4 linked regions of the Schizosaccharomyces pombe genome follow. The main gene of each other region encodes a partner of the protein of the gene in region 2 in a complex. Each region holds a gene or a part of one and is shown on either strand. Other genes may lie near its edges.

Region 1 (5,857 bases), on a different chromosome or scaffold from region 2:
AAGCCATACTCACTCAGCTCTTCTCGGAGTTCTTCGTACTCGAAAGGAGTAAATAGTGCCGCCAGTTTACAGTCCATATGGGAAACTATGAATAACTCGAACCCATCTGTCATCCCCGAGTCTACTTCTTCAAGAGAACCAGCTGCCCGATACAGAAAAATCTCTGAAAGGAATGCTGTATATGATTGGAATGTTATAATTGATAAAATTATTGTAAGCAATGATCAGCAATCTTCGATATTCCTTCAACAGAAGCTGAAAATTTCTTCTTATGATATGAAACAAAACATTGTTGATTCCATAATATCTCAAATCCATCCTCTGATGCTTAACCGCTTTGGGAATTTCTTAGTTCAAAGATGTTTTGAGCATGGCACTGCCCCACAAATTCGACAAATGGGATCTGCCATGTTGGGAAATATGTTAAAATTGGCAACAGATCCTTTCGGATGCCACGTTGTTCAAAAGGCAATAGATAATGTGACAGAAGATATTAAACTGGCTATGATGGACGAGTTATTCCTCACTATTGATGTTACAATAATGCACCACTATGCATGCCATGTCTGGCAAAAATTGTTTGAAACGCAATGGTACGAGTATCCAGTTAATGTCATGAATCGCGTAAACAATGCCTTGAGAGGAAAATGGCACGAAGTTGCAGTCGGGGAAAATGGAAGTCTCGTAGTCCAAAATATGTTTGAGAACTGTGTAGAGAAAGATAAGCGTGAATGCATTGAGGAAATCATTTTTCATTTAGACGGTATTGCACGTGGTCAATGGGGAAACTGGGTGGTGCAACACATGGTAGAAAACGGACAAGGAGAGGATTTGAAAAGAGTCATTGATGCATTATTGAATCGTGCAGTGGAATTTAGTATTGACCAATTTGCCTCTAAGGTCATTGAAAAAGCAATTAAGTCTGGCCCAAAAAATTTCATTTCCTTATATCTAAAACAAATTACAAACGCGAGAGTTGACCGAACAAGGCAGCCTTTAATCGATATTGCATCTGATCAGTATGGCAACTATTTAATTCAGCAAATAATTCAACTTGGTCAACCAGCTGAGAAAAACCTTGTCATTACGCATATAAAAAAGCACATGGTTTCTCTTCGGGGAAGCAAGTACGGTCAGAAGGTTGCTTATTTAGTCGAGAAATGGAATTCTCAAAAACAGGTTTCCTCTGTAATCAACTACAACTGCAATACTGACCTCTGATCTGTAAATATAGGGATATATTCATTTCCACATTTTAATTAGTTTTTATTTTATATATGATACAGCTCTAACACTTACTGAAGCATCAATAGATCAAATTTTCACTATCTTCCGGATAAGGTAGTTAAGCAACGATCTCTTTAAATAAGTAAATTGAAATATATATCTCTTTACATATTTGTGAATAAGTAGCATAATAGTATTTTAAAATAATTATTATAAATAAATGCGTTCATTAATATACCAAAAGAAACTTTAATTTCCGGAGCATTGGCATCCATAACACTCATGAAGTTGTTCATGCGCAAAAACATCGCAATCCAAACAAAAATGATTTTTACACGAGGGACATGCATACCGCATCGATGAAGTAGATTCGTCAAACGGTGAAACCGGCGGCTTCGGAAAAGGTAACTGACACGCAAAGCAATGAGTGGACTTTGGATTTGCGGACCAAGGAATTTCGCTCCAGTTTTTCAATGGAAACAAATGATGATAAGATCGAGCAAGATGTGTTGAAAGGATTAGAACGAGAGAACAACTAGGGCATTCGATCGGTAAAGTACAAACTTTTGCTTTACAACGAGGACAATGAAACCCACCACGAGACGGAATTGAATGGCAAGCACAAAGACTTGGCAATTGCTCAACGACCTTAGAAGGAAATCCCATCATTACCAAAGAAGCATCAGTGGTTTTAGCCGAATCAGTAGCAGGAGGTATTGTGCTTTCGAGTAGAAGTTCGCGAAAATGTTGTTCACTGATGACTACGCCGTAGGCATTTTTCGTAGATGAGTTAGTTTTATTACAAATTTCTTTACAAATGGCGACTTCAGCAGCCAAACCAACGATACGGACACGAATAGAATCATGAACCAGAGCATCAATCGTCTTGAAAATGTCGCCAGGGTCTGATGATAAGATGGAACCAAAAATGATAAGGACTTCTCTAGTGCCATGGGAAGCAATGTGTGATAAAGAAGCTCTAGCCATTTCGAGAGCATTTTGAAGAGAGAAGTTTCCACTACAATCTCGAAGAGATTTAAGCTTCTGAATATGCGATTGAGGATTCCCATGCAAATCAGTTATCCGATGAGCGATTCCATCCATTACGCCTATAATCGATAATTGGGAAATAGGATTTTGTTCAAAAAACTCAAGAACAAATTCAGAAGCATACTTTATCTGAAGGTCGAACCGCTTATGATGAAAATCACGCTCCTCCATAGAGTTGCTCAAATCTAACACCAAGACCATGTGTCTAATAATACCTCGTTGTAACGGAGTTGTATCTCTAAGAAGTCTAAATCAGATTGACAAGTTAGTATACCGTTCATCGATGCTATAAAAGACTAATATGTTTCCAAATGCCCAACATAGGCAACTAACAAACAAATGAAGAACATAAGAAAACCAATTTTGATACGCCATACCTTTTACGTTTCCCGCTTTGAATAAGCCCAGCGATAACGCCTACTAAACTACCCTCTGCGTCCTCCTGTACGATATCCCAAGAACGCTGATATTCACCTTCCCAAGTATAACCCTCATTATCGTCAGTTTTCCTGCTTCTTACTTTAACTCTTCCATTTTTTTGTTCATCCTCGCTTTCCGACTTGTCAGAGTCAAAACTTTTTTGGTTCTCATTCATTGAGTGTTATTTTAACCGAGCATAGGTATTATGCCAGAACGCTATTTGATAATTAGATAAATGAATATTGCACAAATTCTATTCCTTGGTTTCTACAGACTAAAGAACTCAAAGCGAATGTATTTCTTCAAGTCACGTTTTACCCAGTGAACTTTTGGTAATTTGAATAGTCGCGTCGAGTTGCTTTACATGCAATGAGCGAAAGTTCTTTCTTTTATTATTTTTAGTTTTATTTTTTTAAAAAGCAATGACTCCTGGGCATACCAGTAAAATGGTAAGACTAAGTAAGTACTAGAACAAGAGACCATTTACACGAAGACAATACGGACAAGGAGCGCAACCATTATTTGTTAAATATAATAATGAATTTCGTTATGCTGCGTTAATTCGTGTTTATCAGTCTTTGATTTGTGATATGAAATTTGTATACAACTATTTCTGTTATTTGAAAAAACTTAGGAAATTATGAAAGTAAAAGAAGAATATAAAATAAATCTGTACTCCTCATTCTTTAAGGATGAGTTATATATCGTATTTTATAAAATTATTTATGGCTCGGTTATTTGTACAAACTGCATATTGCAATATAGTAGAGACTTAGAAATTTGCAAACTGCGTAATTGCCAATATTTTATGTAAAGCTACAAGTGATATGGACATAAGAAGAATAATTACTTTTCGCTTAGGCTGAATGTTGGATGGTTTGCAGGACGAAAGAGTTCATTTAATTGATTTTCTCGAACAGAAATTGGCTACTGACTAGGAATTGCGAAATCGCATTGTTTAAGAAGTTCTCGTTCTACTCCAAGGTCGATTTTTTCGTTTTTATTTGTCTTAGAAACAAATTTCAACTTATATTTGCTGTATATACTGGTTTTTAAAACTCCAAAACTTGAGAATGATGAATGGAATCCTTATTTCGTATATATCCAACAAAAAAAAAGGTTAAATCACTACTTTGCATCTTTTGAGTAATGTCTTAATTGAACAATTTTTTAAGTCGCAAATCTTACAAAGTCACAATTAAGGATTGTATATCAATTTGGTAAAACAATAAAGAGGATGATTAATCTATAATTGACAACAGATTCATTAGTTAAATGAATTTTCCTAGCACCACAAATACACATCGTGTTTGCTCTATAACAGAGACAAAAATAGTGATGACTGTCATCGAAAATGATTAAGTGATGATGCATATAAGATAATAATACAAGGAATAGAAATAAAGGAGAAAAGTGACTTTTGCAAGAAAGTAAGAAAATTAGTGATGAAATAAAAAAAACCCTCGCAACTGTTGGCAGCCCCTTGATTTTTTTCTCTAGCCATGACTTTTAGTTGCTGCCCGATTCTACATCTTTAGAAGTGTTGCAATCGGTTTCCTCAGCCATTGTATTGTCACTTGCTGGCTCTGTGGTAATTGCTTGGCCTCGCATAGACGACATTTCAACGTCGCCAGTCTCTTCATCTTGTTCTATTACTTCGAGCCCGAGAATAAACAACAGTAAGGATAAAATAATATGAGCCAAACCTTGAATTGCTTTAGCTACATATTTAGCTAGGCCTGCAATCGCTTTAGCTAGACCTTCATTCGCTTTAGCTACAGACGGTGCATAAACATAAGCTTCTTCAAACGCTAATTTAATTAACGAAAATGAAACTAGAAAATCGTTAGTCATGAATTCAAATCATCTCAAAAACTTACAATAAACAATAATCACTGTCATCACGTATGTAAATATTAACACTATAGTTTCAATAACATATTTAACCACAGAATTAAGATCCGCCAATGCCTGATCGAAATAATTATAAAAATTATGATAAAGCAATAAAGTAAGAATGAAAGGAAGGAAGATATGAAATATCGCATATCTAGCTTGTGTAAGTCGCACATTTTCCGAACGCTTTCTTAATCTAGCAGGTGCAGCCATTGTATTTTTTTTTCGTAACGATGGTTGTGTTAATGTTGAGTTTTGTTTGACAATTGGATTGTTTACATGATTATTGACTGAATATGAAGGACAAGAATGTAAACAACCCTTCTCCAAATCATTCCAAACTTCATTGTATTGAGGTAACTTTTCGTCTGGCATTTTGAAGAGCCTTTTACCAATAGTGATTATATACGTTTGAGTTTCAACTTGAACATTGCAAAATAAAATGCGAAATTAAAATATAAAATAGATAAATAGATCAAAACCAAACGCTTGAATAGCCTAAAAATCCACGCGTTCTAAGCATCCAACAAAAAGAGATGGCTCTTGTTAAGGAATGAAATTGAATCATTGTGCTGTCAATATCAATTTACGCACAAGTTAGCATTAATTAGGTACTGCGTACCAATACGCTATAATAGCGATGCCTTGCTTCGTTTTATCATACTTTGAAAAGTATGCAACACTAATTGCTAGACAGTGAGCTACACTAAAATCGCTATTAAACATTACGTTACGCATCAAAATACACTACATGGAATACCATGTCAGCAATACTACACTACGCTATGATACACTACGTTGAGTATCACTATATGTCACATGTTCTAATTATATATCGTACCATGTATGATACGATATGGAGATTGATCTTAATGATAATCTATTAAGATCAATATTATCTGAATACTATAAATAGAGCTACTGCTGAACCTCGTTCCTCAGTTCAGTTATGAGCTATATTAGTGATAGGTAACATTATAACCCAGTTAATACAATACCTATACTCAGTTGCTACTTATACAACCTGTGTATTGTAATATAATAGGTCACAAGGAAAACTCACCGCAGTTCTACGTATCCTTAAATCAGATACCAAACTGCGTAGCTTACATACCAATTAATCTCAATTTGTTGAACAATAGCAGAAGACTATATGTTTGTTTACTAAAACATCCATTGATATTGATATAAAATAGTAGTTAAAATTAGAAGTCTAGATTGAAACAGAGCATCATTCTCAGTCCAGTTATTAGCTGTTACAATG
Region 2 (5,806 bases):
AGACCAGGTGAGTTAACAGTGCCCCTATGATCCTCACTACGCATCCAGAATCTGCGAACATAACCTTTTATAAAACATGGAATACTATAGTCATAGTGAGGAGGCGGATGCCAAATTAAAGAGCCATAACCAAACACCCATAAACTCCCTTCCGGACTAAGTGTTTTCATGAGCGAATTCAGCCCAAGTTTCGTTATTAAAAGGAAACCGGTGACTGTAAACTAAAACGCGAGCATGTTCCGAACCATAACATGAGCTTACAATAGATAACGACGGATAGCAAAATCCCTTATTTTAATTCCTAAATTTATGAAAACTGAAAAAATCGTGTAAAACATATCAACATTAGCGAGTAAAACAGAGCAGAAAAAGCGAATAGCCAGAGAAAGATATAAAATATAGGCAGAATTAATCTTCGGCTAAGTCAAGGCAATTTCTAGGATCTCCTAAAGCATTTCGAACAAACTTAGTATGCCTACCTTTAGCAAAGACCTCATTAGAAGATGTCAAAAAATCAACGCTCGTAAAAGCAATGTTTGATCCTAATCGATCACACTTTGCGTGCAGTAAAATTGATGAACCTAAAGTACCACCACTTTGTAAAAAAGTTTGATTCATATCTATTGACACGCCAGAAATAAAAAGCCCTCGACTGGCCAATGCTAAACTTCCTCCCAAATCAGTGAGTGCTGCAATACAACCGCCATGCAAATTACCCATACGATTTAGGTGATGCTTCTGCAGTTTCAGAGAGCATTCTACAAATCCTGGAACTGCACTTATAATTTGTATATCACTGACTACATGAGCATCAAACCCATTGGTATTTACAAAATCCTGCCAAACAGAACGAACGAAAGAAAGCACCTTAGTACCAGAGCTATTAATTGCCATTGTGTCTTAAAACTTCGTTTAACAGGTATCAATCACTGTAAAAGTAAGTACCTCAGGTGAATTGGTTATGTTGTGGCAGTTCTTGGCTACTCGCAGCAGCGATACTTGTAGTTAGTAAGGATTTACAAGCCATTTGCCTGCCTATAGTAATATCACCAAATCATTATTACAAATGGTAATATAATTAAATGAACATTAAATACAAGAATATGAATATTGTTTGGATTATTCAAATAACGGATATTTTTTTTTTCTAATGACGAGAAGAAGAAATTCATAATTTGAACGTTAAAGAGTTGCATCATTAAAACTTGAATTTCGTATAAATATCCAACACGCGTATAGTTAACATGGCTAATGTTGAGCTTATGTTATATATATGTTTATTGACACCAGTAAATTACTTACAAGTGATTTGAGATTAATTTAATATTTTCTAATTACCACTTCTCTTTTGAACCATCCAAAAAATATTCATTTGACAGCTCGTCTTTTCAAGTATGCGATCATGGGCTGGGCGCCTGTCGTAGTTATGAAAAACATTCTTTTCAAGGAACTGTCCCAAACCAAAACCCCGAGTTCTTTTGCGTACTCTACTGCTTGGTCGAAGCCAGAATCAGTAAGAAAATCGCGAAACAAAATTCCAGGAGTAGCCCGAAGTCTATTTTTTTCCAATTCCCATAAATAAATTTGATCTACTAATGTAGGAGGTAAAAGAGGAACATTCGATCTCATCTGAGGGTGAGCATGAGTTGTCAAGTATGTAATAATTTGCTCCGCTGCAATTCCATTCATCAAAGCACGACGAATACTATCCCGAGTTATCACACCGACAACAAGATTTGAAAAACGCGCCCTTAAGTTAGCAAACAATCCGATGATGGCAATCTGTAATGGGGAGCTTGTGTAAGCATATAATCGGTAATTTGTTTCTACAATAATAAAACCTTTATCATCATCATTTTCACTTTGCTTTCCATGCAATGAGCGATAATCAGTTGTCAGACCTGTTGCCAGTCTGGTTGGATAGAAACGCTTGGAAGTAATTTTTCTTTGATAAACTAATCCATATTCTCTTAGGTCTTCAAGCATGATTTGTTGTGTATCTGTTAAGAAGTCCACTGAGTATGCCCTCCCCAAATCCAAACTTCCAAGCATAAATAAAAAGTGCAAAACCTGAACAGGATCCATATGCGTGTCTTCAGATAGTTTTAAATAATCCAAAAGTAACGTCCAAATTTGAGCATTTATATCCTGTAACAGAAACTGAAAACCGGCACGGGTAATACGTAGCTGGTTTTTTGGACCAGACATTAAACCGCCCCGCTTTAATAGACTTAAGACACCTTCTCCAGGAAATTTAGCTTCCGGAGTTCCTACCATGAAGTGCAAGATTGTTTCCCAAGTTTCTTTCGCATATGCGTCAAGAAAATCAACCGTCACCAAGTGCTTGTCTTCATCGGTACATGGCACGCCAAACGAATTGTGATTTCCTCTAAAAAGCTTAATTAGTTTATACTCAAAATTCAATAAAACTTACCCTCCAGTCAGAGCAGTTATAAATTGTTTGCGAAATTCACTATTTAGAGTGATATATTGTCCATCAAATTGAAATATATGCATCCTAACCAGTTTGTTGAAGGATTCAGATTGATAAACTTTACTCGAAAGTTTGATCCATAAATCGAAATCTGAGAGTGCTACTGGCATAGGATTGAAAAGCATAGACATGACATACTGTCTAGCTAGAATTGGCAATAAACGAAACACAGCAAGACAAGCAGCTGGCTTTTGGTAAAGCCTTGCATGATTTGGTAACTGTTCCAGGAAGTCGTTGATACTAGACTTGAATTCTGCTTGCATGGTGACAATTTGCGAACCTACTTCAAAAGGTTTAAATTGGCGGTTGTAATCTCTCTTTATTCAGCTGAATAGAACAAAATCCAGTGTACTCAACTAATAAACTTATTTACGATTATCAATCTTCCATAAATGCCAGATAAGCAATCATCGCGAGACCGAAGGTGGATGGTGATCAAGAGCGAGTCGAATTACTGGTATTAAATAGGCTAGAATAACAAGCCAAAGCTTCCGACAATGACAATAACAATTTTTTTTTGCTGATAATTACATTAACCTGTGTACATATTTATTACAATTCAAACTTTTATGCCCAAGTTGCGAATTGTCGTGATTAGATAAAAACATATAAACAATCATTCATACTTAAGTTTTAAATAAAGTCAGTTTTAAAAAAAAAAAGATTTGTTTTAAATGTTCTGAATATTTACAGTTACGTTAAATATTTACTGTACTATTACTTATTTAGACCATTAGAGATGCATGCTTGGTTGAAATAAACCGCGGGATAAATGACCCTCGAGAGAAAAATAATTTGTTTTTCAAATATCAGTGAAAAACATATAAATCCTTAATCATCTAATTAACTTCTTCCGTATCAGCTGAATAAATTGTGCGTAATTAAACTCTTTCATTTATGCAGCAAAAAAATTTTGTTATTTGGACTGGAATTATACATCAAGACCTTAAAGCACGTAAACGTTCTTGTAAGTTGTCATCTTCTACAGGAGCGGCGGGAGTAGGAACACTGGCAGCAGGAACCGAAAGATTATTGTTCATATTCTGGTTAAATTCCAAACCAGCTTCATCAGCTACCGTTTGCATTAATAAATCTACATCTTCTTGGGGTGTATCGACAGCAGTCACTGATCCCATAGCCTTATATAGTGTTAGTTCTAGTCTTGAAATATGATTAATCAAGGAAACTTACCTTATTCATATAACCCGTTTGAACATTAACATCATCGAATTGCGCTTCAAATTTATCCATGACTTGTGAAATCTGTGGGTCAGAAACATTTGAAAAAAAACTCATTCTACGAGAATTAGGAACTCACCATCTCCAAATTCATTGTTTTCATAGCTCTGTCCATTCCCCGAACGACACCTGCCATATTTCCCGACACCTAAATAGTCAATAAGTATGCCACGTTAAATTGCTAACATACAGCACGCATAGTTACAGCAGTCTGTAAACGACTTGAAACCGCATCTATTCTTGAAGAAAGTTTGAGCAAATTAAGGGATTCTTGCTGCTTCCGAATTGCATTCGATGCATATATGCGGGCAATTTCTGAGTTGCCTTTTGTGATAGCCTAGGTAATAACAGTTAGTAATGAATAACGCCAAAAAGTAAAAAAAAATTTTTATCTAGCAAATCATATGAAGATGGAATAATCGACAAAACCAAGACTCTGCAAAACCACCAAGAATTACAATAGCAATTGATAGATGAGCTGTAAAAAAATTCATTGATAGTGACATGCTTGGAAATAGCAATCATTACAACAAACAAACCTTTTTCACTTTTTCCCGTTCAGCACGCTCCTCTTTCGCAGCTTTAAGTGATTGTTTATTCAGCGACTTTGCAGCAAACTAACGCATTGTTAAAAACAAACTTCAATTAAGAAAATACCTTTAATTGAAACAGAGATGCTTTCAGGTTAATCAATTATCAAAAAAATTACTTACTTACCCTCTAAATTGCTCATTTTGTTTGTAAAGGTAAGCTAGCTGTATAATGCTAATTCTATTGATTGAGCGTCTGCTAGTAAGGCTGATGATTTTTAGAACTTCTTAATACATTACTCGTAATGCATTTTAACAAAATTAAACAACTTCACTAAGGAAGATAGTGGGGTCTAAAATTGACAGTATCTTAGTTTATGATAGCGTAAACACCATAAACAAAAGAATATAATTAGCAGATTATAAAAAATAAGACTTTCAAAAGATAAATAATTAGTGGCTCGATGTTTAAAAATTCAATAACCTCCCAGTTTATTGTTGCCAGTTTTTTTGTAGAAGACGATCTGTCAGCATAAAAATGGATTGATAACACATGAGGAAGTTTAACTTAGTTTGCTTAATATTTTTCCAACTTCTAGACAATTTTGTTAATTACTCAACTTCTCAAGGATAAGCTCAAGAGCAATACAATTTTTATTTTTTTATATTAAACGTTGATGCAAAGGACACCGCTCTTCAACCATGTATTTTGTATCGAGATAAATAATTGAATATGAAATTCTACCTATATGCTTAATAAAATCAAAAATTGCCTCGCATAAACAAAAAAAAACTCGGTGATTAAATACACCGAATCACTTGGTTAGCCGCAAGGCAATATGAAGTGGATTGTAATGTGTTTGTTTACTAATCCATTACACCAATTTTCTTGCACACATTCACATGCAGCACAATAAGGAAAATCATTTTGTAGAGGATGCAAAGCAATTCCAAGAAAAAGCAAAACTCTATCAAGGAAACTACTATACACTGGATGGAGAATTAATCACCATAATACCTAGCTCGAAGGAGGGCTTTCGATCATGCAAATCGCTTTATTATAAGAAGAAGCAACCTATACCGGGAAGGTAATAAAATATAGATGCAGCTGCATCTGCAGCATATTGATGGCGTGCTTGCACATACTCCTCAACCCTTCAAACTTTTACTTCAATAAACGAAGGGTACCAAACCACTACCTTTCTTGAACTATTTTATCAAAGAAATGCATAATAGCATTAACGAATAATGAAAATTACTACCAAACCATTTTGCTTGCCAACAACAATTGAGTTTGTGTAACTTGATATATACTAGAAGATAAATCTAAACTATAGAAAAATCTGTAACGAAAAAAGCCCGATAGTTTTCTCGCTCCAACAAACTCAATAATTTTACAATCTTTAAAAAAATCTCCTTTACAAGTTTATAAAGTGAACCATTCATGCTATGAGCATCAACGAAGAGTGTGTATGCTCATTGAAACATGCTAGACTTTTTCAACAAGTAATCTACTCTATAACATAAAAGCAATCCGGAATGC
Region 3 (7,254 bases), on a different chromosome or scaffold from region 2:
ATCTAAAGTTGGAGGCCCAAGAAGCAAGGTCAACATTAATCATAAGAGCCTGTTGAAAATATGGCATCGCACAGAGTTGTTGTGGAGAGGCGCGAAGTGTAGGGTCTTTATGTAAACAGGCATCAACGAAAAGTCTGAGGTCTTCAGGAAACGAAGATGGAAGTCTAGGTGGTTCTTCTTGAACAATACAATGAAGCAAATCTAGGATCCCTATTGAATCATCGATATTCGAAAACGACCAAGGTAATTCTTGGGTGGCAAGTTCAATAATGCTGATTCCTAGAGACCAAATATCACTTTTGACTGTATATTTTCCACCTCTAATTCGTTCAGGAGACATATAAGTTGAAGTCCCCACAAACGTTTGAGCAACCGAGTTAACTAGTTCACCTGAAACTCCAAAATCGCATAACTTTATTTCACCACGAGAGTTGACGACAACGTTGCTAGGCTTTAAATCCCTGTGAATGATATGTAAAACGTTGTATAAATAAATGAGACCCTTCACCATAGAATTTATAATTTTTCCTAGAATATCTAACGGAATAGGACCTCCCTCCCGAAGAATTGCATCAAGCGATCCGCAATCCATGTATTCCATACATAATGAAATGTTGTTTTTATACTGAAAAGCTCCATAAAAACCGACTATGTAGGGTGAACGACAGTGGTGTAGAACACCTAACTCTCGCAAAATCTGCTTCTGAAGTTTAGAGTCTGACCCAACATAAACTGTTTTCCTAGCCATAAAAATATTTCTATGCTTTACCAATGAAACAGCCCCACCATTTCCCTCTCCCAAATGCCTCACTACTTCCAAACTGCTATTGTCCAAATCAGATATCCAAGCTGGGCGTCGATTCATATGCGCACATTGCTCCATAAATGCTTCGACATTGGATTCAAAGCTTTTTTGATTGTTAATTAACTCTTCCTTATGATCATTATCAGAGCTTTTAACAGAGGCGTTAGGATTCAACACAAGACCTTTTGGATTTCGACGTCGTTTAAACATTTCTAGCTATTGGCCAAATTCTCAAAGAAACCTGTATCGAAGATTATATCATTTAAGATACTATTAAAGTTGCTTCTTTTTCTGTAATTTGACAGCTGACTGTATTCAATAAGTTACTTTGCTAATCAAAGATACAAAGCAGTAGTTATGACAGGATTCTGACTACCCCAACGTGACTAGAGACAACCCTTGCAATAAGCTACACTTATTTTTTTTTCTATATTTAAGAATTCCTGAAAGCGGTATCCTTTTTGTGCTAGAGTAATTTTTTTATACAGTAGTTTGGTAAAGAAACCATCATTGATCTTATATGTGCTTGGCAATTACGTATAAGCCAACCGTGAATCCGTAAAACCAAAAGATTTTTTATTTTCAAGAAATTTATATATTACATAGAATACAGCAATGAATCAGTTGTACAACCCCAAAACGTTCATTTATTTAGAACTAAGTATGGGAGACTAATTTTATCGACATAAAACTATCAAGGAAATTTTTTAGATTATGAGAATATATTATGAATATGTAAACTTTTGTTTTATGTATCTAAATGATAAACAGATGTTTTGTTTATATAACTAGGCTTACAATTACTGCATCACGTATTTTAACTAGCTCGCTTAATGTAAGCTTAATTTCCATAGCAGCATGAAATTGCCAATAATCACTCTTTGAAACGCTGGATTGTTATTGATGGGATGGAAAATTTAAGAAGCATTACAACAACTGAAACCGATTTTATTTGAACACAGTCTCTAAAAAAATTTTAAAGTACTTCGAATTTAGCGACTCGCAAATTAATTGCCAACTGAGTGTAAATAATATTTTTTCTCTGCTCTGCGATCTTAAAACAATTCGTAAGTAGCATGCGTATCGTGATGACGATTGAAATGTCCACTATACAACTCTCGAATACAAGTTGATACATACATTGTCCACACCTACAAAAAAGTTAGCCATTCGCTTCCAAATATCTTCATCGCTGTGTTCATGAGTTTTGGATTGCCTTAGTAAAGATGATTAGAATCAAAGTATTTTACAAATGGCTTCTATTAAGTTTCAACCACATCAATATCCATCTCATCCTCATGTTTGGATTGTTCTATAGCCGCAGACTTCAATGCTTTCTTCTGATGAATCAACAAATCATCAAGACTCCACCAAGAAATCCCTTCCTGATCAGACGCAGTGAAAGGCTGTGCCATAGTTCGTAAAAATTTTTTCGCCAAAGCGAGGGACATATCAGTGCTTAAATTTGTAGCGCCTTCGGTTATATACTGTTGAATCCATTTAGGTAATTTTGTACGCTTATCAGACCGACCATATCGTTTATCTGCTAACACCATAATTCCATGATCATCTTTTCCACGCAAAACGCGACCTAAACATTGGGCAGCATGCCGCATGGCATCAAATGTTAAGAAATCTGCTTCCCGAATTTGATACGTATCCCTCAGAAATTCTAACCGTGCTTTTAAAACACGACTCTCAGTATACTGATACGGAATACCAAACATGATTACTGCTCTACCATAATGATGATCAAAATCCACTCCTTCTGAGACTTTTCCTCTAGCGACTGACAGCAATACTGCTCCACGGCCATTGCTGCAAGCAGCCCGGTAAGTCTCTAAGGCGAGAGTTGTTTCATGAGGATCTGGTGTTTCCACCAAAATCAACTTATACTTCCAGACTTCATCTAGAATACCCATACTTTGCCAACTAGAAACAATACTTTCAAGGTAGAGATAACTTGGAAAAAATGCGACTAAGCCATCAGGTGTAATTTTCGAAAACTCAACCAGTATATTACCGTAATTGCGAACAACACTAGGATCATTACGGGCTTCAAATTTTGAAGAAATAGCTACTTGATCGCTACCCCGAGTAACTACCATAGGAAGGAAACAGTTTCGTGCAAGTGACATTCCATACGATTCCTGCATAACAGTATTAAACTGCAACATCTTGGGGTACATATCGAGGGGGGATAAAGTACCACTCGTGATAATCACAGACCTAAATCTTTCGAAAACTGGTTTAATAGCTATTGAGGCGTCAAGACAGGAAAACCGCAATATTGGATTGGGAACTGTAGCATTTTCTGTTTCAAAGGGTTCCAAAATTAGGATAAATCCACGCTCATAAGTAGCAACAAGGGTCGCAAAAGCTACTACTTGCTGCAAAGAATGAAAATCTTCAACTAGTGAAATTTGTAAGGCACGAACAAGACTAGTGAGTCGCTCAGCGCAAAACCGAAGCGGCTTTTTGTCTATAAATGTAATGTCTTTAACATGTTGCAAAAAAGAAGTTGGTGTTTCAGCAATAACGTGCAAAACTTTCATCCTTGTTTTTAAATATTCTACAAAACGCTTCAAAAATGCAATAAAATGTTCGGCTCGTCGAATATTTCCAGGAACAGCTTCCTTTAAAACATCCTCAGGCAAAACGGGATTCGCCATAAACTGGTCTTCGTCATTTGCGGCATTAGCATCTTGAAGGCCCCGAACAAGCTTTTGGTATTCATCCTGAAGTTTTTTTGAGTCAGACTGTTTTACTTCGTTGACTTTTTGCTCAAGAGACAAAATGCTCTTCGAAGCTTTTCTCAAAGAAGATTCTGTCAAATCAATACTTAAAGACTCAATACACACATTGTCAATATTGTGTGCTTCATCAAAAACAACAATGCAATCTTTACTGAGTTCTCGAGAAACTCGTTCAGCAATTTTGGGGTCTAGTAAATAATGATACGAATAAATAATAACATTACAAAACGGTAGCATACGACGTACAGTAAAATAGGGGCATCGTGTAGTTTTTTCGCCGTATTCTGTGATATCATCAAGGGTCCAAACACCGTTAGATATAAGGCTGTGTGGCTCAAGATCTTCCAAATTGTCGTGGAACTCACAAGTAGGAACATCCATACCAGCCAATCTTTGCTCCCGCACAAAACCCGCCGTAAGTGAGCGACAACGGGCATCTACCACATTCCCATTTTTTTCACGACGAACAGAAGGGTGTAAACATAAATTTTTGCGACTGGTTAGTCCGAGACCCAAAAATGGTTCTTCATATCCTAACTGTGAAGTCCGATACGCCATTAAACGCTTCAATTCAGCTAATGCTTTATCAATTTCCGACATGGTACGTGAACAATAGATGAGCTTGCGATGCTCAGGATAATGTTGTTGATATGAAACAATAAGGGACAAAAGAGAAATGGTCTTTCCAGTACCCGAAGGCATTTCTAAGAGCGCAATGCCTCCCGCATCCAAAGAATGTTTCAAATCACACATATACTGATACTGCTCGGGATAGATGCGTGGATAAGGAAACAGAATAGGTAGATCGTCAATATAGAACTTCATTATGGGTGTAATCCGTTGACTTTGAGGAAATTAATTTGAGTATATGACAGCCTATTGGACCAAAAAAAAATTTAGGAATTAAATAATAAGATAAAAAGTTGAAACAAAAGAATTATGAACTAGCATTGATGAATAATAGTGGGTAAAGATCGCTTAACAATCGCTTCATAAAAATGAAATGAATAAAGCGAGAAATAAATTTTTATGGGTATTATAAGAATGAGGTAGGTTCTGCTTTGGTTCAATATTTAGTCGTCAATCACTGATACACAAATATGAATAAGTTCACAAAGATAAATAAATAAACATGGGATGGAAGAGGGTAAAACAAAACGAACCAAGAAATAATTCTGACCTAAGGTTTAAGTGAGCTACTTTACAGTGAGAATCTCAGGAGAAACTACTTGTCGATCCAAGCTTAAAGAATGAGTCCTGAAATTAACAGTGGCTGCTTTATATTTGTAGTGCATATAGAACTGGATTATGAAGAACGCTGAGTTGGTACGGTAAACATTTATAAGCAAAATACTGTAAAGTACGTTAAATTGGATAATATTCGTAAATACATGGTGTACATACAACTATACATTGATGGAAATGACATGGTTAATGGAAGATGCAATTGCTTAATAAATACTAGTTTATTGGAAAAAAAATTCGTATTTTCGTAGTTACCGAGCATAAGCGCTACTTTGTTTTCTGAAAACAAGTTTCCGCAATACTACTCCTAAATAAACACAAGGCAAAAAGAATACATTTGCAATATTCCATTTATTTTGTTTTACAAGTCAATTCCCGACTCTGTAGACAAGTGAAAAAGGGCAAACTCACATATAGCTGCTGAATCATTTGCAAACTAATAACCGCTTATTCAAGCTTAATGAATATTATTCTAAAGAGGGAAAAACAAATACATACGTATCAGGATAAAAAATAAAAGGAATTAGAATCGCCAGGTGAGCAATAAACAGCAAGTCACCGAAGAGTTATCTTCTTGAAATCATACAGAATACTATATCAACAGTTTTTGAAATGAATGAAGTGGTTTTTTATTATCCCGTAATCACCGGTTAGTACAGTTTACCGGTTTTAATGACATTCCGTATGTTGAGGAGACAATACGGATTGATTTGCCTGTTCACTTATGTGTAGATGATAAGGAAAAGTGCTTTATCAATTTTTCACGAATTATGAAACCCATCAGCAATCATGTTTAATGAAAACATACCCAAGGTTGACATCAAGCAAATCAGCAGATCGTCAAAACTGTTACGTTTTATTTTACCTAATGTCTCTTGGCAATCTCTATCAATCATCGATGACAAGTATTGTGAAAGATGAAAGATGATTAGTAATGATCAATCTTGATATTTTAAAAATCTCTCCCATTCACTAATTTCTGGCTAATTAATTAACTCACTACACATCTAGTATATCGACGAGTATCCGGCTTTCGGGTATAAAAGAAGAGCATGAAATTCCACGAAAACAAACTTAACGAATCATTCATTAGCGATGCTACAAAACAATATACTGTTGGAGTTTGCCGCTCGGTAACAAGAAAATGGCATTCATAACAACGACCCATTCCAACCGTAATGGGCCATACTGAGTTTTTCTGTGGTTACTCAAAATCGTTGATCAAATTCATGGTAGCTGTTTCTTGATTCACTTTTACTCGGGACTTGTAAAGCCGATTTTCGGAAAAGTGTGATGAATAAATGACGCTGTCGGAAACAACTGGTATTTTTGGGTTGGCGAGTAGGTTATTTTCTACAAAACATACAAATAATACAATACATTGCTAGCAAAATCAATAGTGCATATATAGTACTAATAACAAAGAGTATTTAAAAAACAACATATCGATTTAGCAGAAAAAAATGGGAAGGAAGGTATTGAAATAGAGGATAGATGGCATGGCTCATTAAATGTAGGAAACCAAAGTAAGGATGACTGGTTTGAGATTATTTCCTTACATCCCGTAACATGCAAAAAAATGCAGCAATTTAACACGGTGGAGGGAAAGTATCGAATTTTTTTACTGGTAAATGTAATATATTGGATTGAAACAACTCCGCTTGCCATTATTAAATAAAAAATAATTCTTTTCGTTAACTAAAAAGTGAAATCAAAATTAATTTAAAAAAAAAGAAAAGTTAAAGGAATACTATGCTACCAATATTTCCCTCGAGTTTATATTGATAAAGCATTTAGCTAGGCTTACAAATAAGTTGCTTGCTTCATATATATCTTATTACCTGTTTGATAGTGAAAAACAATATTCAGCCCCAACGGTTCGGTTCCTTTTTGCTTAATTGTACTACCACACAACACAATACAAAGCTTAAATCCTGAACCTAGGAAATGGGTATGCGGTCCGTTCAACGAATGTTGAAGTTGCATCGTCCTAGATAATCCTAGGAGCAAAAGCTTTGATTGCTTGCTCAGCCTTTGCTATGAGAAAAAGGAGTCGATAACTTGAGAACACAGCGATCGGATTTCCCTTTAAAGATGGAAGATTCATTTGTTACATAAGAAATTCATGTCAAAATGATTTCTGTTTACACTGCGTTTTATAGATGTTACTATGTATAGCAAGATTAATTAACATGTTATTGTTATTTGTTATTATGTTTTTAATACTATGTATTTATAGCATCTGTAATGTCTGCGTTTTTCAACTGCCAAAGAGCGCATTTTCTACAAGTTTCGGTTAATGTTGCAAATAACCGATTAGACTTTCATGTCATGACACTTGATTTCACTTGTGCTGACGCTTTTTTATGAACGGCATATCGCTGTTCAGCTGCTTTACCGACATGTAATGGCCAAATCTCGAGCTTGACACTTTGTAAAAAGTCTCAA
Region 4 (5,287 bases), 2.4 Mb from region 2:
GCTAATGGAGTCAATCTTAAATCAGCATTATCAGCACGTGTAGTTAACCTATACTCGCTTCTCGAAGTGAACACCCTATAAGGTTCTTTCACACCTTTTGTAATAAGATCATCGACCATTACTCCAAGCAAAGCTGTATTTCTCGGTATGTCTACTGGCTCACGACCAAGAGCACTTAAACCTGCATTTAAGCCAGCTAAGATACCTTGCGCTGCTGCTTCTTCATAACCCGTCGTTCCATTTATTTGACCGGCCAAGTACAAACCCTGAATTTTTTTTGTTTCCAGTGTTGCCTTTAGTTGGGTGGGGATAACATAATCATACATAACTCCATAAGCTGGTCTCACAATATTACAATTCTCCAGGCCTGGAATAGACCTTATTATATTGTGCTGAATTTCTTCAGGCATTGAGTTACTGAGACCATTGGGATACCACCAAGAATTGGGGTCCAATCCTTCCGGTTCCAGCCAAATAAGATGTCTTGCTTTGTGAGGGAATCTTGTAACCTTGGCTTCCAATGACGGGCAATACCTTGGAGAAAGAATATCACCAGCAAGCATATGGGGAGCAAAAGCGAGATTTTTCCTAACAATTTCATGCGTCAATTCAGTTGTATAAGTTCTGTAGCAAGAACGTTGTGGCAATGCCGGTGAAAAATCCCTTTCCAAATTTAAAAAACTAAATGTTTCTGGAATTTCGTCACCTGTCTGCTCTGTCATTTTTGATATATTTATGGGAGAGCTCAATCTGGGAGGTGTACCTGTTTTTAGTCGACCCATTTTAAAACCTAAATTGCTAAGACATTTACTCAAAGGCAATGAAGGTCGCTCGCCATATCGACCAGCAGCTAACTGTGTTAAACCAACATTTATTTGTCCTCCTAAGAAAGTACCAGTAGTAATGACTATACAACTGGCAGGAATAGCAGTGCCATCTTCAAGAACAATTGAATCACAAACTTGTTTACCATCGTCTTCTGTCAAAACATTAATAGAGACGGCCGCGCCTTCTCTAACTTGAAGATTTTTTCTATAAGTTGAAATAGTTTTTTGCATATTTTTTTTGAAGACCGACCGATCCATTTGTGCTCTGGGACTCCATACAGCTGGTCCATTCGATCGGTTCAACATGTGAAATTGAATTGCTGATTCATCGCAGACACCACTGACAACACCACCCAAGGCATCTATTTCTCGCATTAGTGTTCCTTTTCCAATCCCACCGAAAGCTGGATTACAGCTCATTTGTCCAATATTGTCGAAGGACTTTGTTAAAAGAGTAGTTTTCGCACCTAATCTAGAAGCAGCAGCAGCGGCTTCCACGCCAGCGTGTCCACCTCCTATCACTACGACATTCTTCCGGCGATTGAAGGAGGTGCAGAAATATCGCTTTGTTGTTCGAAACATTTGTTCACCCCAAATAAACTATTTCAAAAACATACATAAGGACCTTTTGTTAAAGTACCGACAAAAAAATGCACAAAATATATTTGAGTTATGCGTAAAGGTTAATGATAAATTTGTTGTTGAGGTCTTGCTGAAATAAAACGCTATATAGTCGGGAAAGAGCTGTTAAAAAGCACAGTCAATCAAAAATTCTAAAATTAGTGGAAAATAGACATTCAGGATGTCAGAAGTTTGTAATTGAATCTATCAACAGATTAGGCAATGGTTGTAATGCTCCTAAGGTTAATCAGACTAATTTACGTCTGAAATCTGAAGATTTAGAACAAATATATTACAACCTTTTTATTATTTTTCCTTTTTTAAAAACTATGAATATCTGATTGCAGAATAAACGAATTTAAGAAAATACTTTTTTTTTTTCAAGCTTGTCGTCACTTGTGAGTTTGAGAATATTCGGGCAAATAAAAGTAAACCGGCTCTATTAGTATGAATTATCAATCCGCGCTTTTATTGCTCAGTACAGAAATTCAGAGGTTGAGTTACATGTAAAAACCAAGATTCGTAACCTTACTACAATAATCAAACCAATTCATTATAAATTGCATTCATATAGATCTCAATGTAATATAACTTTTCTGATTAAAAAAGCTTAAAAAAAGCCATTGTTAAAATGATCAAGCACCAACATTAGAGATGCAATAGATTATAAACAGTAGAAAGGAAAGTTCCTGTGAAATAATTTCTGTCAGCATCTTCAACATTAATGATTCGTTAGTAAATTAATTAAAGAATAGTATATAATTTCGTCTTACTGCACTGTTTGGAAAAGAAAGAAGCCAATGCAACTTGAAGAAATAATAGAAGAAGCTCTAAGGAAATAAATAATAATAGGGTACGTTGGAATGAATTAGTTGCTTATACGTTAAGTTTCTACTTGTGGATGCCCCTTAAGGAAATAGTTTGATCCTTCCGAAAAATGTTAACATTTCAAGTGTATCAAAATGCCAGAAAGTAAAAATCGCCAAAAAAAAAGAGCTAGACTGTACAAATCACCAGGATAAGGAGATTTAGGTAATGAAAAACAGGGTTTCAAATATGATAAAGCTGTACACCCGGTGTGAGACAAAGAAATATATAGTTTAATAATAATATAACGAATTATCAAGTGTGCAATTTTTTTGACATAGGTTCTACCGTGAATTTGGTATGACAAGTAGAACAATGCACCCGTGGTTCACAAAATACTAAAGAGGTTAGCAAAAGGTCAAATGTTCAAAGCCTATCGTAAAGCTTTGTTACTACTTACTTGATAGACAAACTGAGCAAACAAAGCCAATATCCAAAACCTTTTTGTGGCAAAAACATGTAGCTCGAAAATCAACATTCGCTTGGTTTGGGGTATTTAAGTGTTTTCGAAGATTTTGATCCGGAAAAAGCGACATCATGAGATATTGTAGTAAGCCTTTGGGGTTGTCAACTTTTAAGTAAATCCCTCCTGTGGCATCTGCTGCTTGTTCTAAAAACAGGGTGCCTCCCTCAATGTTGCAAACGTTAATTGGAATATTTTTCTTTTGAGCACAAAATATACAATTCATAGTAGGAATATACTGAAGAGCAACATCACCAGTTAATGAGAAAATTAGAATTCGAGAACGAAGAGTATTTTTATTTTGAACTTGATTGATATATGCAAGGGCTCTAGATAGTGCTCCGGAAATCATCGTTTTTCTTGAAACTTTATCAGTCGAACTCATGAGTCGCTTCATCCCAGATAAAACTAAGTCGTCTACCTCACGAAACTTTCGATACGTATTTGCCTCCTTGGTAGGATCTACTTCTGCGACTTTTTGCTCAGGTGCAATCGAAGGGTATAGGTATTCAACCTTGTCCGAGTGTGAAGCTAACACAGCAACTCTATTATCATGATGAAAAGCTAAGTGTGCGTTTAGAAAAACCGTAATATCTGCCAGTACCTTGGAAACAGGCACTTTTTTGGAAAGGGAGTACCATGAGGCAGGATTTGCGTCTAATATAACTACAAGCAAACTGGGTGTATCATTTGCGTCTTCAGATATATCCCACGAGGCATTTTGTTTCAAAGTTTGAAATTCATCCATCCCTCTTTTTATAATGTGTTTTTTCTCAATGCTTTCCCAACTTTAATACAGGTAGACAACAACCCAGAAAAAGTGTAGGGTTCAAAAAAAGATTGCCAACAAAACAGTGTTATTTCAAAAACATTTATATTCCATTATAATGAAATGGTTTATCTAATGAAATAAAAGGTAAAGTAATTCCAAAAATATAAAAAATTTATGGAGTCGCCAGTGCAGATTTTAGTTTGGCCTTTTCCATGTGACGAGATGAACCAAAAAACACCGTCTACGGTAGAAGAAATTCGTATAGCACTACAAGAACTTGGGTTGAGTACGAATGGAAACAAGTATGTTACTGAAATTGAGAAGCAATTAGTCCGTTTTCTCAGAGTTTATATAAATTAATTATTTACACAGTATAAAGAGAAAAACTGAAACGGCGATGGAAATTTCGTGAAAAACGTCTTGAAGAAAAACGAAAACAAGAACGTTATCAAAAGTTTTCTACTAGTAATGAAAACAAAACTTGTTTGTAGGGTTAAATCATCAATTGTTTAAACATTTTCTATCTAACAGTAACTGAATACTTGTAGACGATACTTGCTAATTGTGGACGTCGAAGCTACATGTGAAGAAGGTTGCGGATTTAGCTTCGAAAACGAGATCATAGAATTACCATGTCTTCTATTCGATTTAATAGAAAAATCCATAATCGACGAATTTCATTCTTACGTTCGCCCATCCATGAATCCTACTTTGTCTGACTATTGTAAATCACTGACAGGAATTCAACAATGCACTGTTGATAAAGCGCCTATCTTCTCAGATGTCTTGGAAGAACTATTCATATTCTTGCGGAAACATTCCAATATTTTAGTTCCCTCAGTTGATGAAATTGAGATTATAGAACCCTTAAAGTCCGTACCCAGAACACAGCCCAAAAATTGGGCCTGGGCTTGTGATGGTCCTTGGGATATGGCGTCCTTTTTAGCCAAACAAGTAAGTGTTAATATAATTTTGTTCGGTTTGTCTCACATTTCGCTAACAAATCGTATTATCAGTTCAAATATGATAAAATGCCAATTCCTGACTGGATCAAAGGACCATTCGTAGATATTAGGTCTTTCTATAAAGACGTTTATCGCGTTCCACGCACAAATATTAATGGAATGCTAGAGCATTGGGGTCTTCAGTTTGAGGGAAGCGAGCATCGCGGAATAGATGATGCGAGGAATTTATCACGAATTGTTAAAAAAATGTGTTCGGAAAACGTAGAATTCGAATGCAATAGGTGGTGGATGGAATATGAGAAGAACGGCTGGATTCCGAATCGAAGTTACCCGCCATATTTCGCAAGCTAATGCTTAAAATTTTTATTTCGACTTCATAATCAATATATTTCGTGGAATCTGGTAGAGATAAATTATCGTTAAAATTCATAGATAAAAAAAATTTCCGAAAATTACGTCAAAAGAATGTTTAATCTTCATTAGATGACTCCTCTTGAGGTGCATGGGACCTCGCATGTCCTTCTTTTGCAGAGGTTGGCCATAGGTTGGGAATTGCGATCCTGTGGGAATTAGTTAGTATGAATCAATTCATACTCTCACTTACTGTTGAAACTGAGGAGAAACACAACGATTAGTAAACCATTGTCGAATCCTTGATTCGATCAATTGTGTAATTTTAGGAATGTCTTGAAGCTTTGACCTAGCTCCCACAAGAGAACTTACTTGTAGCGAGATCACGAAATTGGGGTCAAATGACAAGTTCATATATGCA

Evidence for each region.
Region 1: tfb2 (region 2) and ssl1 share a complex: the UniProt entries of both Schizosaccharomyces pombe proteins name them as parts of the 7-subunit TFIIH core complex.
Region 3: tfb2 (region 2) and rad15 share a complex: the UniProt entries of both Schizosaccharomyces pombe proteins name them as parts of the 7-subunit TFIIH core complex.
Region 4: tfb2 (region 2) and tfb4 share a complex: the UniProt entries of both Schizosaccharomyces pombe proteins name them as parts of the 7-subunit TFIIH core complex.

The regions. Positions count from the first base shown.
Region 1 is NC_003421.2:381,488-387,344, reverse strand, and holds ssl1 (transcription factor TFIIH complex subunit Ssl1), read right to left. Parts: upstream 3,155-5,857; 5' UTR 2,873-3,154; coding exon 2,655-2,872; exon of another isoform or gene 2,525-2,654; coding exon 1,477-2,524; 3' UTR 1,298-1,476; downstream 1-1,297. Other genes in the region: meiotic pumilio family RNA-binding protein Mpf2, read left to right, coding at 1-1,221; SPOM_SPCC1682.06 (uncharacterized protein), read right to left, coding at 4,207-4,532, 4,578-4,968. UniProt on the Schizosaccharomyces pombe protein: Component of the general transcription and DNA repair factor IIH (TFIIH) core complex, which is involved in general and transcription-coupled nucleotide excision repair (NER) of damaged DNA and, when complexed to TFIIK, in RNA transcription by RNA polymerase II.
Region 2 is NC_003423.3:3,751,021-3,756,826, reverse strand, and holds tfb2 (transcription factor TFIIH complex subunit Tfb2), read right to left. Parts: upstream 2,928-5,806; 5' UTR 2,758-2,927; coding exon 2,435-2,757; intron 2,390-2,434; coding exon 1,369-2,389; 3' UTR 1,110-1,368; downstream 1-1,109. Other genes in the region: glutathione-specific gamma-glutamylcyclotransferase Ggg1, read right to left, coding at 1-170; the13 (acyl-CoA thioesterase), read right to left, coding at 409-894; ESCRT III complex subunit Did2, read right to left, coding at 3,433-3,633, 3,686-3,757, 3,813-3,881, 3,924-4,070, 4,273-4,350, 4,391-4,410, 4,451-4,466; protein smp2, read left to right, coding at 5,167-5,355. UniProt on the Schizosaccharomyces pombe protein: Component of the general transcription and DNA repair factor IIH (TFIIH) core complex, which is involved in general and transcription-coupled nucleotide excision repair (NER) of damaged DNA and, when complexed to TFIIK, in RNA transcription by RNA polymerase II.
Region 3 is NC_003424.3:661,914-669,167, reverse strand, and holds rad15 (transcription factor TFIIH complex subunit Rad15 ), read right to left. Parts: upstream 4,821-7,254; 5' UTR 4,387-4,820; coding exon 2,068-4,386; 3' UTR 1,521-2,067; downstream 1-1,520. Other genes in the region: MAP kinase kinase Byr1, read right to left, coding at 1-1,015. UniProt on the Schizosaccharomyces pombe protein: ATP-dependent 5'-3' DNA helicase, component of the general transcription and DNA repair factor IIH (TFIIH) core complex, which is involved in general and transcription-coupled nucleotide excision repair (NER) of damaged DNA and, when complexed to TFIIK, in RNA transcription by RNA polymerase II.
Region 4 is NC_003423.3:1,316,968-1,322,254, forward strand, and holds tfb4 (transcription factor TFIIH complex subunit Tfb4), read right to left. Parts: upstream 3,610-5,287; 5' UTR 3,527-3,609; coding exon 2,716-3,526; intron 2,654-2,715; coding exon 2,571-2,653; 3' UTR 2,103-2,570; downstream 1-2,102. Other genes in the region: ips1 (GIDA family tRNA uridine 5-carboxymethylaminomethyl modification enzyme), read right to left, coding at 1-1,409; double-strand siRNA ribonuclease Eri1, read left to right, coding at 3,773-3,852, 3,930-4,037, 4,099-4,504, 4,567-4,866; ERMES complex subunit Mmm1, read right to left, coding at 4,985-5,075, 5,120-5,287. UniProt on the Schizosaccharomyces pombe protein: Component of the general transcription and DNA repair factor IIH (TFIIH) core complex, which is involved in general and transcription-coupled nucleotide excision repair (NER) of damaged DNA and, when complexed to TFIIK, in RNA transcription by RNA polymerase II.